Linked DNA regions of Mytilus edulis. The main gene of each other region encodes a partner of the protein of the gene in region 2 in a complex. Links are inferred from orthologs where the notes say so. Each region holds a gene or a part of one and is shown on either strand. Other genes may lie near its edges.

What was found. Proteins that work in one complex are often made in the same cells at the same time.
Region 1: the proteins of symplekin-like (region 2) and RNA polymerase II subunit A C-terminal domain phosphatase SSU72-like are in contact, whole or in part, in a crystal structure (PDB 4YGX), measured with the Drosophila melanogaster proteins. The link is inferred for Mytilus edulis from reciprocal best matches to the Drosophila melanogaster genes Sym and Ssu72. Residues at the interface, in NP_649580.1 of Drosophila melanogaster: Glu91, Ala117, Lys121, Gln125, Gly128, Ser129, Glu169, Asn170, Asp171, Gly172, Thr175, Asn176, Lys179, Phe180, Arg198, Ser240, Ser241, Val242, Ile245, Ala246, Ser249, Thr281, Ser283, Gln284, Ser286, Ser287, Lys290, Met294, Gln295; in NP_001285455.1 of Drosophila melanogaster: Glu114, Tyr117, Asp118, Val121, Met122, Glu125, Glu128, Ser129, Val130, Asp131, Asn132, Arg133, Pro134, Asp168, Asp170, Asn171, Asp174, Gln178, Glu181, Val187, Ile188, Leu189, His190, Ser191, Val192, Phe194.

The regions. Positions count from the first base shown.
Region 1 is NC_092356.1:11,118,946-11,126,625, forward strand, and holds the start of RNA polymerase II subunit A C-terminal domain phosphatase SSU72-like, read right to left. Parts: upstream 3,013-7,680; 5' UTR 2,799-3,012; coding exon 2,722-2,798; intron 1-2,721.
Region 2 is NC_092346.1:102,303,763-102,311,109, reverse strand, and holds the start of symplekin-like, read left to right. Parts: upstream 1-4,320; 5' UTR 4,321-4,428; coding exon 4,429-4,518; intron 4,519-6,700; coding exon 6,701-6,769; intron 6,770-7,347. UniProt on the Drosophila melanogaster protein: Component of a protein complex required for cotranscriptional processing of 3'-ends of polyadenylated and histone pre-mRNA. Involved in germline stem cell transit amplification, differentiation and mitosis-to-meiosis transition.

The DNA.
Region 1 (7,680 bases), on a different chromosome or scaffold from region 2:
ATCTGAAATTTATAAAAATCGAAAGGGAGCATACACCAATAGATAATTTTTTAGTTATTGTTACAAAACTGGAAAATCCCCCTTTCTTTAAGGATAAAACTTCATAACCATTACATGGAAACGAAAAATCTGAAATTTATAAAAATCAAAAAGGGAGCTTACGTCAATAGTCTTTAGATATAAACATTTCATCAAATAAACACAATAAACATTTCCACAAAGTTTCATTAAAGTTGATGGAAGCATTTTTGAATTACATGTATTGTCAGAGGACTGGAAATCCCCCTTTTTTTTAAGGATAAAACTTTATAACATGGAATCGAAAAATCTGAAATTTATATATAAAAAATTGAAAGGGAGCTTACATCAATAGATATAAACAATTCAACAAAGTTTCATAAAAGTTGGTGGAAGCGTTTTTTAGAAACTGTCCGAAGTGGTGACGACGAACAGACAAACAACAGTATACCATAATATGTCCCGTCTTAAACAGGTGTATGAAAATAAACAATACTATATTACGAACCGTTTACTAAATAATAAGAATGCTCAAGTTTTCATGCTTAACCGGCTTTTAAAAATGTCGCTGGGCCTGTGACAATCATCAATTTTTCTAGGCGCTATATAACAATGAAATACAAAGTTACATGTACAGTCAAGCTTTTTGGTTTTTTTTTCTATGCACTGTTTTAACTTTTCAGATTTGCATCTGTTATCATATGACTGTTGCTTTATTTTTTAAAGAGAAATAAAATGTTTTTGAAGTGGCTCACAATTGTTGTCATCCAAACACAATTATGGTTTATGAAGTAAATTGATTAATTCTAAGAACAGTTTATACCTTTGACCACTAGCCTTTAGCTAATTATATATATCTATATGTTGTGTACGCATTGTAATGTTGTACAAGTTATCAGTGTTTTATGAACTGCTTAACACAAATGGATGATGTAAGCACACAGTGGAAAGTAAAATTAAGTAATGCATGGTCAATAATGCATTGGTTGAAGTTGATTCAATTACAATTCTGGACAAGTTTTGATTGCATCTCTTTCAATCTTAACACAAAACATGTATTAAGTTTCAAGAACTTTAAATACTCTATAAACTACCTTGACCAAATAACCTGAAACAGGACAGACGGACAAATGGACAGATGCAGAATGAAAAACATAATGCCCCTAGATATACAATAATGCAAAAAAAAATGATCCATAGGTCACAGCTTGAAACAGAGTGAGACATTGAAATATATGCTATTCCTGGGATATGGTACATGAAGTTAGTTAAATCTGTCATGTAACCGAAATGTAGACACGACACTGACACAAGTTAAAATCTGCTGGGTCAAACCAAAGACTTTAAAAGTATTGGTATTTGCTGCTTCTTTGCTAGAAGTAAAAGCAAGACTGGTTAACCAGGAGTCAGAATAATTTGTCAAGACAGGGCGACACGTCTTCAGCTTCTGTTTAGTACACATTCTCATACTGAGTTTGCCCTATTTGAGTACATCAGTGTTTTGCGAAAACTGTCAGACTATTAAATCTTTACAAGCAAAAAACAAGAGATCAGCCAATTAAGGTTCATCATAACAAACGGACAAATACGGCTGTATTTACATGCCAAAAATTACTCTGAGTACAGACTTACCTGTGAAGTTGGAAAACTTTTAATGCCTGGCATCCACTAGATATAATAAAGTTAAATGCATTTTGTGTTTTAGAAAGATAAAATCTCTTTTGGATTTTGCTGGGCATTTTTTTCCTGAAAAATTCTGAAAATTAACTAAGCTGTGGAACAACTATGAGATGCTCCCTCAGGTAAAAAACCGGTTTGTATTGTTTTGTTTGTCCTTAATTGACATGGACAAGAGGTATCTTAACAACTACTAGCTGCGGAACTGTAGCTCTAAGGTCCGCAAATAGTCAAAAAATAACATAAGGACCTTAGAGCTACGGTTCCGCAGCTACACAACTACAGGTGAGTTAAAGAGTTCATCTGAGTCAGCGAGTGGACAGTATCAAAGTAATTCAGGTGTTTGTTTATTTTTACACCTTCTGCAGAAAGGAAAATAAATGCCCAGCAAAAACCAAAAAAGATTTTATCTTTCTTTAACACAAAATGAATTTAACTTTTATATATCTAGTGGATGCTAGGCATTAAAACTTTCCAAACAGCACAGGTAAGTCTGTACACAGAGTAGTTTTTAAGGTGAAAATACAGCCATATTTGTCCATTTGTTATGATGAACCTTAATGTAAAAATAATGAATTATTTAGACTTTTTTAAGTGTAGCAGTTGTCCTGATGCATAGGTGGATCCAGTGGGCTGGGGTGCCCGTAACCCCCCCCCCCCCCCCCCCTTTTGGGGGAAATATTTGGTTGATTATGTAAGGAATCAATAAAGCATGACTGGAGAGGCCCCCCACTTATGAAAAGTTCTGGATCCGCCACTGTGATGTCATACTTGAAAGTTATTCTTTTATTTTAGCTCTCTGGTATAAAGAGTATAGCTCCTGATTATTATGTTTTACATTGCAATTGATTGTAGTGAAAATCATGTCTGAATAGAAACTGCTTGCATCAAATTATAATATCAACGAATTACCTCCCTTACTTCTGACCTTGACCCAATATGTCAACAAAGCACCCCACCCCCTTATTTCGGATTGAAACCGTGAATCGATTAGTGTTTGTTATCCCATTATAAACCATTTCTCACCTTAGAAAGCTATGAGCTTCCATACTTCTGTTTTGGTTACTCGAACAGACAACAGCGACTCTCATTTCTACGCCCATTGTTTATTTCCTTAGACTTTTCTCGCTATGACTTTGACAATGATACGAGAAAGCAGAATCTAAGTGTATAAGCTATGAAAGTGAACGAAATCAAGAAACCTAAGAGATAGAATTAACCCTTAAAATGTGCAGATTACTGATGATTGATACGACAAATTTTTCATCAAATGTTCCGTTTATTTTAACCGGATGTCGGATGTAGGCACAATTTTTCGGATTTCAGATTGCTAAACGAATTCTTGATCTTAGACAAGTTCTTTTTACTGAGTCTCTTAAAATTGATGAACATTTTAATAGTTTTACAGATTGTCAGAAAATGGTATTTTTATTTTCGAATCAAGATATTATAAGATTATGTGCCAAAACCTGTAATTTTATTCTTAAACGACGCCGAGAAGTTTTATATTGTAAATAATAATTAAATACTTTTGTTGTATAATTTTACCATTTAGGTTTAATATTTATTATGTACATATACATATTCTTTTAAGTGATTATCGTCTCTCATAAATCTGTACAGATTGGCTTATGTATACAAAATGTATCTTTTATAAATGTATTGTGTAATTTTATACATAAGGTGAGACGTAAATAAAATATTGAATTGAATTGAATTGCTATAATAAAAAAAATGGTGTGAGGAAGGGAAGGGGAGGCTTGATCTGATCCTCTATTTTTTACATTATCTTTGATTTTTCTTCTTTTTCTTTTTCTCCTGCTATATGTTTATGACAAGGATGTGTTTGATAATATCAAGGATTTATATAGTAATACAAATCCTCGGTCTCACTAATTAGCGACAACAAGAATTATTACAACAAGCGACAAGAATTATTTTAGCGACAAATCCTTGGCGACAAGAAGCGACAAGAAAACATATTTTTTTAAAATAAAATTCATTATTGCAATAAATATTAAAAGAATATGCAAAAGAAAATAATTTTAGCGACAAGAAAGTTAAAATTGATAGAAAAAAAAATGAAACATTATTTACATAATATTTTATCATCTATTATGTATAACCAGAGACATATATACATAGAGATTGGCAACTCCGTGAAATCCCGTAAAAGATCGCGGCCCGGGATGAGATTCTCGTCGATAAATATTAGAACATGTAATCAAGTCAGGGATGAATAACCTCGATAGATAATCAAGAAAAGCAATGGGGAAATTATTTCAGATCATATTATAATTTCTTTTCTAAAAAAAACCTACTTGAAATCGTTATATTCATTTTTATGTATTTATTGAGAAAAATATTTTTTTCTGCATTTCATATAATTTAAAAATTCAAATCTGGTAATGATCAATTGTTATTACAAGAAACTTTTCTTTATCGCATATCTTTGCAATAGTTTGCTCCTTTTAAATTACACAGTGAAATTATGTGTGTCCGATTTTCCGGTAATAAGTCCCTTAATTAGAGTTGTGACTGTTGATTCACAGGTGTGTATATATGTCTCTGGTATAACAGCCAGTATTACGTTTAATTATTGTATTATGAGATTACTTTTCCTTGTGTTTTAGAACATATTATTTATCTTATAATTTGTTTTTTAAAACTCTTTTCGTGCAATATAGATTAAGCTCGCAAAATGAATTATTTGTGCATCATTGTCCAGAAAATATTGACACAAATTGTGAAATACAAAGAACTGAAATCAAACAAGAGGAAAAGAAAATTGAAATGTGAATGTTTTCATCTTTTTAATTGTTTATTGCCTCATTAAACGATATTTATCATTGATTGAAGATGAAAGGAAATTAATGACAATCTTGAGTTTTCAACAGGTGTTCACTATTTACAATGATTGTATATTCTGGCGCGTGTAATTGTATATTCTGACGCTTGTACAAAGTTGAAGGTGTTATAAATTGGATGTTATTGTAGCAATAAAACAGGGGACACGCGCCTCGTTTTAATTAATCTCATTTGATGTTCCACATTGTGTGTACTGTTATTACCTTAGGGTGAAGCCACATCTAATGTTGTTCCAATCAAGAACAATGAATTGTACTGTTAGAAAGGAAATTATATTTCATGTTTTTGTTTCAATAAATCCTTCAAAGGAAAGTTGACCTTTTTTTGTTTTTGTTTCAATTTTATAGAGTGTGCATTTCCTTTGCTCTATCAAGCTGACTGCTAAAACTTTTATGTTTAGTATAAATAAATTGTCAGCATTTCAGTATTATTCTCGCAAAAGTACGTGCTCTGTGCAATTGCTAGAATCTGAAACGCCACTCGGTTTACCTTTGATTAATAAATCAGTTACTTTGTACGTCTTTGATACTGCGCAGTATCAAACGAACCCTTTGGTACAGGGTTTCAATTTCCTTTGGGCAAGGGAAAAAAAGGTTACGACCCAAACTTCGATAAATGCATATTACGGGAGTATTACAGACCTTCTAAAATTCAAACTGACCATTATTCCGTGCGTTCATCGTGTATCGTGCGTGTTGCGTGCGTGCATCGTGCGTGTATCGTGCGTGTACCAATCGTGCGTTCATCATTCATCGTTCCGTGTATTTTCCGTGTAACGTGCGTGCATCGTGTATTCTTAATCGTGTATCGTGCGTGTATCGTGCGTGTATCGTGCGCTCATCAAACATTCATTCTTAACCGTGTATCGTGCGTGTATCGTGCGTTCATCAATCTTGTATTTTTAAACGTGTATCGTGTGTTCGTCAATCGTGTATAATTGTGTAGATCAGATAACGTGCATTTGTGAAACGTTCATCTCTAATTGTTTAACGTTCATACATTGCGGTTTTTATATGATAGTCGGTTATAGAGCGGTTAAAGTATATGTATATATATATAATATATATGTATGTTCCGACTTTAAATAAAATTTACAGTCATACTTACTTTCTTGTAGACTCTTAATTAACTTCATCGTACATATAAAGTTCATACAGATTCATGACTTTTTGTGTAAATATCTTATCATCTGTAAAGATTTTGTGGTTATTCGGTGAATCTTGGCTGGGACTGACACATTTTGATATAATGATACATGTTGTACGTACAAACAATAACATGATATTGACATTTCTACGACAGAAGAGTTAAAATTGGAATTTCTATTCAACTGAGCGAAAATGGACTTAAAAATATACTGTTGGCCAACTGGTATTTGTTAAAAATATTCTGTCAAATAAAAACAAATGTGTTTTTGCAAAATTTAAATGTGGGGTAGCTCCACTAAAAAAATAGAAACTGGAAAGTATGAAAGAAAAGAAGTCCACGAGATGACATGTGTTGTAGCTCTACTATTGAAGATGAACTTCATGTCATTCTAAAATGCCCATTATAGTATAATATTATACATTTTAATGAACATTTTAACCCGCGGCTATAATTATCAGATAGCGAAAATTTAATATTTTTATTTAATAACGGCAATGTTGCTGCTATAGTCGCCAAAAACACCAACAATATTTTATTGAAAAGAAACTATACAAATCCTTGGTTGTAAATCCTAGGTAGATTATAATTCTTCGCTTATTTGGCAAATTCCTATGCTACTAAGATATTTCGAAATATCTAAGTTTTGATAAATATCATTATAAATATCATTTTTGTCTTAGTTTCTGATGGTCACATGCACGTTAGGTTATTTCATTGAGAAAATACAATATACAAGATTGTCGGGTAAATGTGGATTGCGGATTAAAATGTTAAATGTCAAACATGAATTAACAAATTAAACTGAGGCAAATTAACACGAATATGTATATTCTCTTCGACAGTGTTTGGATTCTCTGTTCTGAATTTCATTTAAACTAAGCTAAAATGTTTTGTGGAAAATTGAATAAAAATGAACATTACATGTATTTGAAGGCATTATTTTAATCAAACAAATATAAGATCACGCAAATATATCATGTATTATTTTTAATTGAGGAACTTTTAAAACTTGAAATTGGATTTACAAGTTTAAGATATAATCTTGTTTTTTTTTTTTTTTTTTTTTTTATATAAATTAGTTAAATATATGGTATTATCATAACAAGTCTTTACTTGAATGGAATAAACATGGAACACTTTCACGGATTCATTTTTCATTGTGTTCATGGTTGCCTATCAATGACACCGTTTTTAATGAAGGCATTATTTTAATTAAACAAATATAAGATCAGGCAAATATATCATGTATTATTTTTAATTGAGGAACTTTTAAAACTTGAAATTGGATTTACAAGTTTAAGATATAATCTTGTTTTTTTTTTTTTTGTTGTTTTTTTTTTATAAATTAGTTAAATATATGGTATAATCATAACAAGTCTTTACTTGAATGGAATAAACATGGAACACTTTCACGGATTCATTTTTCATTGTGTTCATGGTTGCCTATCAATGACACCGTTTTTAATGTATGCCTAAAAGATTATTATCCGAAAAATAATTCACAATAGTACGTTGTTACTGACTAGGTTGGTCCCCTCCGTAAAACATTCAGTATGCCTTCGGAACATACAAATATTAAGGTAATGTCAAGAATTTCAATAACGGCCGGGAAACAAACTAGTTGTTAGGGACCGGTCAAAATTTCTTGATGCATGGGACCGGTGCAAACTGTAATGGGACAAGCAATTTTTGCAGTGTTTACAGGAATGGGACTCAATGTTTTTTTCATTATTGGCAAGCATGGGACATGAACTTTTTGAAACAATGTCTGTATATGAAAAAACATTATTTGATAAATCTATAACAAACAAAAATAACATCATGAACATCAAGCAATGTGAATTTAACAGTTACAACATAGCAAATTCATTTTCAAGATTTAAAGAACAGTGAAGGCAACAAAAAAAATCTCTTTTAATATTTACTAATTAAATAATTGGGCGACCTAATGATCCCATCACAACAACA
Region 2 (7,347 bases):
ATTTTGTACTAAAAGAGTTATCTCCCCTTAAATGACTCATTTGAAAAAAAAAAATGATTTTAAAAACCAAAAAGGTTGATATTTGTTAAAATATTTTGAATAATACAATAAATTAGCAAGTTTTCTTTATATAAATAAACAGTCTAACCATTAAATTGCAAATCTGTTTCCAAATTTGCTGATTTGGGCAAATAACTATACCGATTTTGTACTGTGATTGTACAATCCAAGATAGAAGAGGGACGAAAGATACCAAAGGGACAGTCAAACTCATAAATCTAAAACAAACTGACAACGCCATGGCTAAAAATGAAAAAGACAAACAGAAAAACAATAGTACACATGACACAACATAGAAAACTAAAGAATAAACAACACGAACCCCACCAAAAACTAGGGGTGATCTCAGGTGCTCCGGAAGGGTAAGCAGATCCTGCTCCACATGCGGCACCCGTCGTGTTGCTTATGTGATTACAAATCCGGTAAATAGTCTAATTCGGTAGGTCAAATTCATGAAAGGGAAGGGGATTGTAGTTACGACGTGAGGAACATATCTGATATCATTTGTGAAATGGTTATTCCATAACGGTCAACCAACTCGTGATGGCGTCCGTAAAATTTACGAAGGGATGATTTCAACTTCACCATTTGGAACTCTTGATTTAATAGCTTCCTTGTGAGCAGTAACCCTCTATCAAGAAAATCATGATAGGAAATGCAAGCACGGGAATATCGTATCAATTGAGAGATATATACCCCGTATGCAGGTGCTGCTGGAATGTTGCTACTTAGAAATGGAAAGTTCACAATTGGGAAGCTGAAATCATCTCTTTTGTCGTAAAGTTTTGTCTTCAACCGACCCTCATTGTCCATTTCTAGATGTAAGTCAAGATATGAAGCTGACTTAACATGATAGCGGTACCATGAATCTACCTTAACCTGTCAATCATATTTGTAACGTGTGCAAAACGAGCTTTAAGCGTGTATTGGGCGTACTAGAAACGTATGTTGGCGTATGTTGTATGTTTTTTATACTGCATACAAATTTCCTGTGATTGTAGCGTTCATCAAGCGTATTTACTTTCCTTCATTGGCTAGAGGAATAGGGGGAGGGTTGATATCTCATAAACATGTTTATCCCCGCCGCAATTTTGCGCCTGTCCCAAGTCAGGAGCCTCTGGCCTTTGTTAGTCTTGTGTGATCTAGTATACATATCTTTTAAGGGGTCAACTGAAGGACGCCTACGGGTGCGGGAGTTTCTCTCTACATTGAAGACCCATTGGTGGCCTTGGCCTGCTCTATGGTCGGGTTGTTGTCGCTTTGAAACATTCCCCATTTCCTTTCTCAATTTTACCTTTGTATTTAGACGTACTAAAAACTTATGCAACGCGCTTTGGACTATTGCTAAGCGTTCCTATGGCATGCAACTAACGTATACCGACTTTGTAAATTTTCTCTGTACGTTTGGTGCACGCAGGTCTATACGCCAATGTGTGACGCCGGCATAAGGTAATCTATTCCTGAGGTAGAAAAGCCTCAATATTTCAAAGAAAACGCATGGAATTTAACCAGCTGCATTGCAACATATGACAGATTCATAGATGTTACAGACTTTGAACAGACAAAACAAAATAAGGCTGATTGATAACTTGGCGTAAATAATAAATTCGTGCGAATTCGAGCGGCCAATCAGTCCATATAACGCTATATTGAAGTGACACACCCTTCAATGAAATACAAAGAAATAAAATTAAAATAAAAGTTCTCTTTCTATAAGGATACTGTTGCACCGTATTGTAATTTTTTCGTCACAAGTACATCTCATTTTTTTCAATGTGAAAATATAAACTAAAGGTAGTAAGACTATTGTCGTGGCTAAATAACTCTTAACTGACACGATTTAAATTGTCCAACCCATTAACAGACTGTATTCCCCTAATATTCATTAAAATGTGGTATTACTCAACTTATATACCAATTATGAAATATTTATCAATGACAATTATTTTTTTAGAACCAAAGTACTATTTTGTGTCCTTTAAATCATATATAAAAATGTCTTTTAGCCTTTTATCCAAAATATTGCTATGCGTACAAGCATAAAAACCACATACTTGCGAGACGCCTTTTCGTTTTACTTAAAACTGCGCAGGCTATGTATTTTTTTTACTGGTGGAAAATGTTCTATGATAGATATCATTTTGTCAGACACTTTTCTTTTTTTGATGTGGTTCTCATAATATGGCAAAAATCTATATATTTAACAGAGTTTAACATTAAATTTTGAGTTTTACTCTTAACAGACGTATAACCAACCCGATTAACAGACCAACCGCCGATATAGCCGCATACTCAATATAGATTAACCGACCAAACTCTCGGTTAGCCGAGTGTCGGCCGTGTTCTAGCGATCCTTCAATTATTGAAGATTATTCGCCGGGCGTCGACTATAAAATTTATAATTTACACTTTAGCAACAAAAATCAAAAATAACAAAATCAAAAAATCAACATAACGTATTTACATTTGAAAAAATGAATTGTAATAAAACTATATACATTTGATAACAGAATAGTTAGGGATAAAATATGGGGATGAGAGCAGATTCTGAGATCATACTCTTGAATCCCTGTACTGTACTGCATGATACTATTTGTTGTGGCAGATGATTCCAATTTATAACAGTTCGTGGATAAAATGAATATTTATAACTGTCTTTGGATGTTTGTATTTGCCTAAATGGGTGTGGATTGCTATGTCTGGTTCTATTGTCTAGTGGGATCAAAAGGATATGTGTAGGGACTGCAACAATTTCATGTATAATTTTGTAAAAGAAAACAAGTCTGTATCGTAAACGCCTAATTTCGAGTGGGTACCAATTTAGGTCTGTCATCATTTCAGTAACTGAGCTGGTGTTATGGAAGCGGTTGCATGAGAAGCGTGCTGCTCTTCTTTGAACTTTTTCGATTTGTGAAATTTGCTGTTTTTGATGTGGGTCCCAAATTGTTGAGCAGTACTCTAATTTTGGTCGGACAAGAGCTTTATATGCGTGAGCTTTAACTTTCGGTGATGCTATTTTTAGGTTTCTACGAATAAATCCAAAGGACTGGTTTGCTTTTGATGTCATGTTATCGATATGTTTGTCCCATTTTAAATTTGATTGAAGAGTTAGGCCTAAATATTTTGTAGAGTCGACTTTTTCTAGAGAGTGATTGTGTAATTTATAAGTGAAGTCTAAAGGTTTCCGTTTTTGAGTTACACTGAGAATGTTGCACTTATCAGGGTGAAAATGCATGAGCCAGTCCTGCTCCCACCTGCCGGCCGCTTCTAAGTCAGACTGTAATTTAAGTGTGTCATCTGGTTTTTTAATTTCCCTATAAATAATGCTATCATCTGCAAACAATCTTAATGTACTATGTTCAATATATTCTGCCAAATCATTAATAAAGATTAAAAATAAAATTGGACCAAGCACTGTGCCTTGAGGTACCCCAGATGTTACAGGAATTGTATTTGATGTTTCACCTTCAAGGACTACTGTTTGTGTTCTGTTTGTTAAGAAATCTTGAATCCAATGATATGCATTACAATTTATACCGTAGAAACCAATTTTATACATGAGGTGGTGGTGTGAAACTTTATCGAATGCTTTTGCAAAATCCATTATTATGATGTCTATTTGGATGTTTTTATTATTTGAATTTGCAAGATCTTGAATAAATGATATTAGCTGAGTTTCACAGGAGCGGGAGGATCGAAAACCGTGTTGTAAGTCATATAGAATTTTATTTTTTTCCAGATGTTTCATTATGCTACTAGCTACAACATGTTCTAATAGTTTGCAGCAGATGCAAGTCAATGATATTGGGCGATAGTTTATGGGATCGTGTTTGTCGCCTTTTTTGAAAGCGGCTGGACATACACTTGCGTGACGCCAGTCGTCTGGGATCTTTCCAGAGTTCAGTGATGCTTGAAATATGATTGATAAGATGGGAGTGATAGATGATTTACACTCTTTTAAAAATTTTCCATGGATGAGATCAGGCCCAGCGGCTTTGTTGATATTGATATTATTTAATAGTTTTTCTATGCCCTGTTGTTGTATCTTAATATTCAGTATGAATACGGTTCCTTACTTGGAAGAAGAAGAAGAAGAAGAACATTTTGAAGTTAAGAAGTATTGTGTAGAGGTATATATATAGATAGATTTCTTAATCAAATTTGGTAGTTTTATTGTTTTTGGCATACTAAATATTTATATGTTTTTAATGATAAAGCACAACGCGGAAATTATCGTCTCCGATCCTGATGTTTCTAGCTCTTTTTCAACTTCCGGTTATCAGCATGAGGGAAAACTGGGAAAATGCAAAAGTCAACAAAAATAATTGAACACAAATTCCCTATTTTGATTAGTTTTATTTGATTAAGATGTCTGCAGAAAGTCAGCCAACCCCTCTGTCGACTGCTGCACAGTTCTTCATGGACGAAGAAGAGGGCAGCACGTCCACTTACGATAGGGTAACAACGCATAAAAAATGTGTTTTTTTTCTTTCTGCACTGCTACTGCCACCTGTCAATACATCAGGGATCACCTCTACCTAATCTAGTGTGATACACTGAATTTCCCTCCACTGCCTTTGATAATTATTTAACACACTAAATTGTTGGCTGCCACGCTTCAAATATAGATATTATTTTAAATACCCGATATATTTGACCCAATAGGCAATAGGTAAATTTCCAAAGTATTCAGAGCAACTGAGTACAATGCAATTCACTAGCAAGCGACTGGGGCAATAAAGTGGCTTGCTCATCCCTTACTTTGCTATGTCTGACCGTCAAAAGAGATACTTTGTACAGTGGAGTCCCCGGTGTCCGCGCGGCCGGTGATACAGCGCATAAACTGATTTCATTATATCAACAAGGTAACACAAATAAAATTGTTCTTGTTATTGTTTTAACATTCCAAAGGGATAAAAAAGAATAAAATTGATTAGTTCCAGATGGAAATAATAACTGCAATCCCGTGATTTACAATATTTGGCCAATGTCCATTAAAAAAAAATACAGCATCAGATAAAATTTGTTTTACTTACATGTAAGTCAAATTTTTATCAGATTGAAACAATTTTTGCGCCATTGTCAAATGACCCCCACCATCGTTAAATTGTCCAGTTACAAAGAAAACAGTTGAACAAGTCGAACACATGCATTTATTTTGACTTACGCAATCAGCATCCCACAAGTACAAAATAAGACGTAAAACAGTAATTATTATTTCATCGCAAATAACTCGAGTACTGCTGTAACGATAATATAGAATTACTTTCAAAGTTAAAAAAAAGTGAAAACTTAATATTTCCTGTAAAGAAATATCATATCTATTTTACGAATTCATTTCGTAGTTTACAATCAAATTGATACATCTACGTTTCCGGTTTTTATTCAGACTCGAAAGATGCATGTTGCATAGCAGTAATTTGCTAGATAAAGTCATTAAAAACATTTTCATTTGTCAACGTTTGCTTTACAAATATCTTTAACCTTTTACATAACCCAAGTGTACGAATCGTTTTGTTGTTGCTGAAAATCAGCCATACTGGTAATGCCTAGCTAATGGGTTCATGACTTCTGAATTTGAGTGTCAGTGAAAAATAACCTCCACATGATTTTTAACCCCCATAACAATTACCAAAAATAGCAAGAAAACTACATGGGGACCTTCTTGACAGCTTTTGATCATTCTCTACAAAGGGGGGGGGGGGGGGGGGGGGCATGAAGGCTTGGCATTTGAATGGTTACAATACTAACGCCAATTATTGAAAATATTTATACTTCTATAATGAAAATTCAAATAAATATAATTTAAATAAGCAATGAATTAGCATGTTCACCATTCTTTATATGGAGGGATGAAATATATTCGATCACGCTACACTGTTCAGCATAGACACGTGGTGAAAGTTCCTCCATCGTTCAATTTTCATCCATGGAGATCCCTATAAAATGAAGTTTCTGCTGAAATATTTGGAAGTGTGGTCTAAACTCTACAGGCATATTAATAAAACACATAGTTGATTGTATCACAATTTTATTGTTTTGTGTGTTAGGCTACAAGGCATGATTATATTCAGCATTACCTCCTTATGTCTGTGAAGTTTTAAATTGCACCATCGAAAGGATCAGATAACAAGCAATAAACATTGTTGAACGAACATGTTGAAGACTGGAAGAATTGCCATTGGAAATAATATGTTTTTTTATATATTTAATATCAATAGAAATTAGCTTAAACTGCAGTTACACAAAAAATGACATTGTTAAACAGAATCTAATGTAAACAGCTTGAATAAACCTTCTTAATATGAATATGGTTAATAACATAAAAAGGGTCTGATAGTGGCTGATTCATGCGTGTGAATATAAATGTTCAATAAACTAAAATTGTCCATAAGATAAAATTTGTGAGTGATTGTACTTTCTCCTGAGAAATCATCCAAAGTTAAGTAGAATTTCAAAATTGATATGAGAAGGTGAAAATTGACCTAAAATATTGAACAGTCATAAGTTAAACATGTTGAAAGTAATTCTAAATAAGGTACTGAAATAAATTTTAGTAAGTTGTCTACACTTCAACCAGCGTAAAATTGAGAAAAAAATTTCAATGTTTCTTGTGACAATTTTAAGATTATTATTTCAGGTTGTTGAACTGGTCAACCAGGCTACTTTGATGCAAAAAGATGTTCAAAAGATTGGTAATTTAAGACAGGTATGTTAACAATTGATTGGTAAAGATACAATTGTAAATTTGAGCAGGTAATATGTATGTAGATAACTACCTCAGTGCTGAATGTAGATTGTTTGGTAATTTAAAAATGGGAATGATTACCAAAGAGTAGAGAGAATGGAAATTTCAAACATGATATTTATGACTTAGATAAATTATATACATTTTTGTACATGTATTTAATTGTTTTACCATGTGTGTTCATTCAAGACTCACACTTTTGTTTTCCAGGTTTTACTTACTCTTGCATTTCAGATATGACTATACTTACAATGTCTTAACATAAGTACCAGATAACGTTGCACCACAACATTCTTAAGATGAAATAAAACTACATATAAATGTACATGTAGATTTCTTAAACGATTTTGTAAACATCAATCATCTGTTGATTATATAATCAAAAGTTGACCTTTGAGTCATTCTTTTCATTTTTACTTTGATTATTCTCCAAATTATCAAAATTCAAATGTATATTTCCTTTTAATGATTGAAAATTAAGTATATGCTTCAGAAGTGTATACAATTGAATTTTGTGTGTAATCAAATTAATGGCAAAC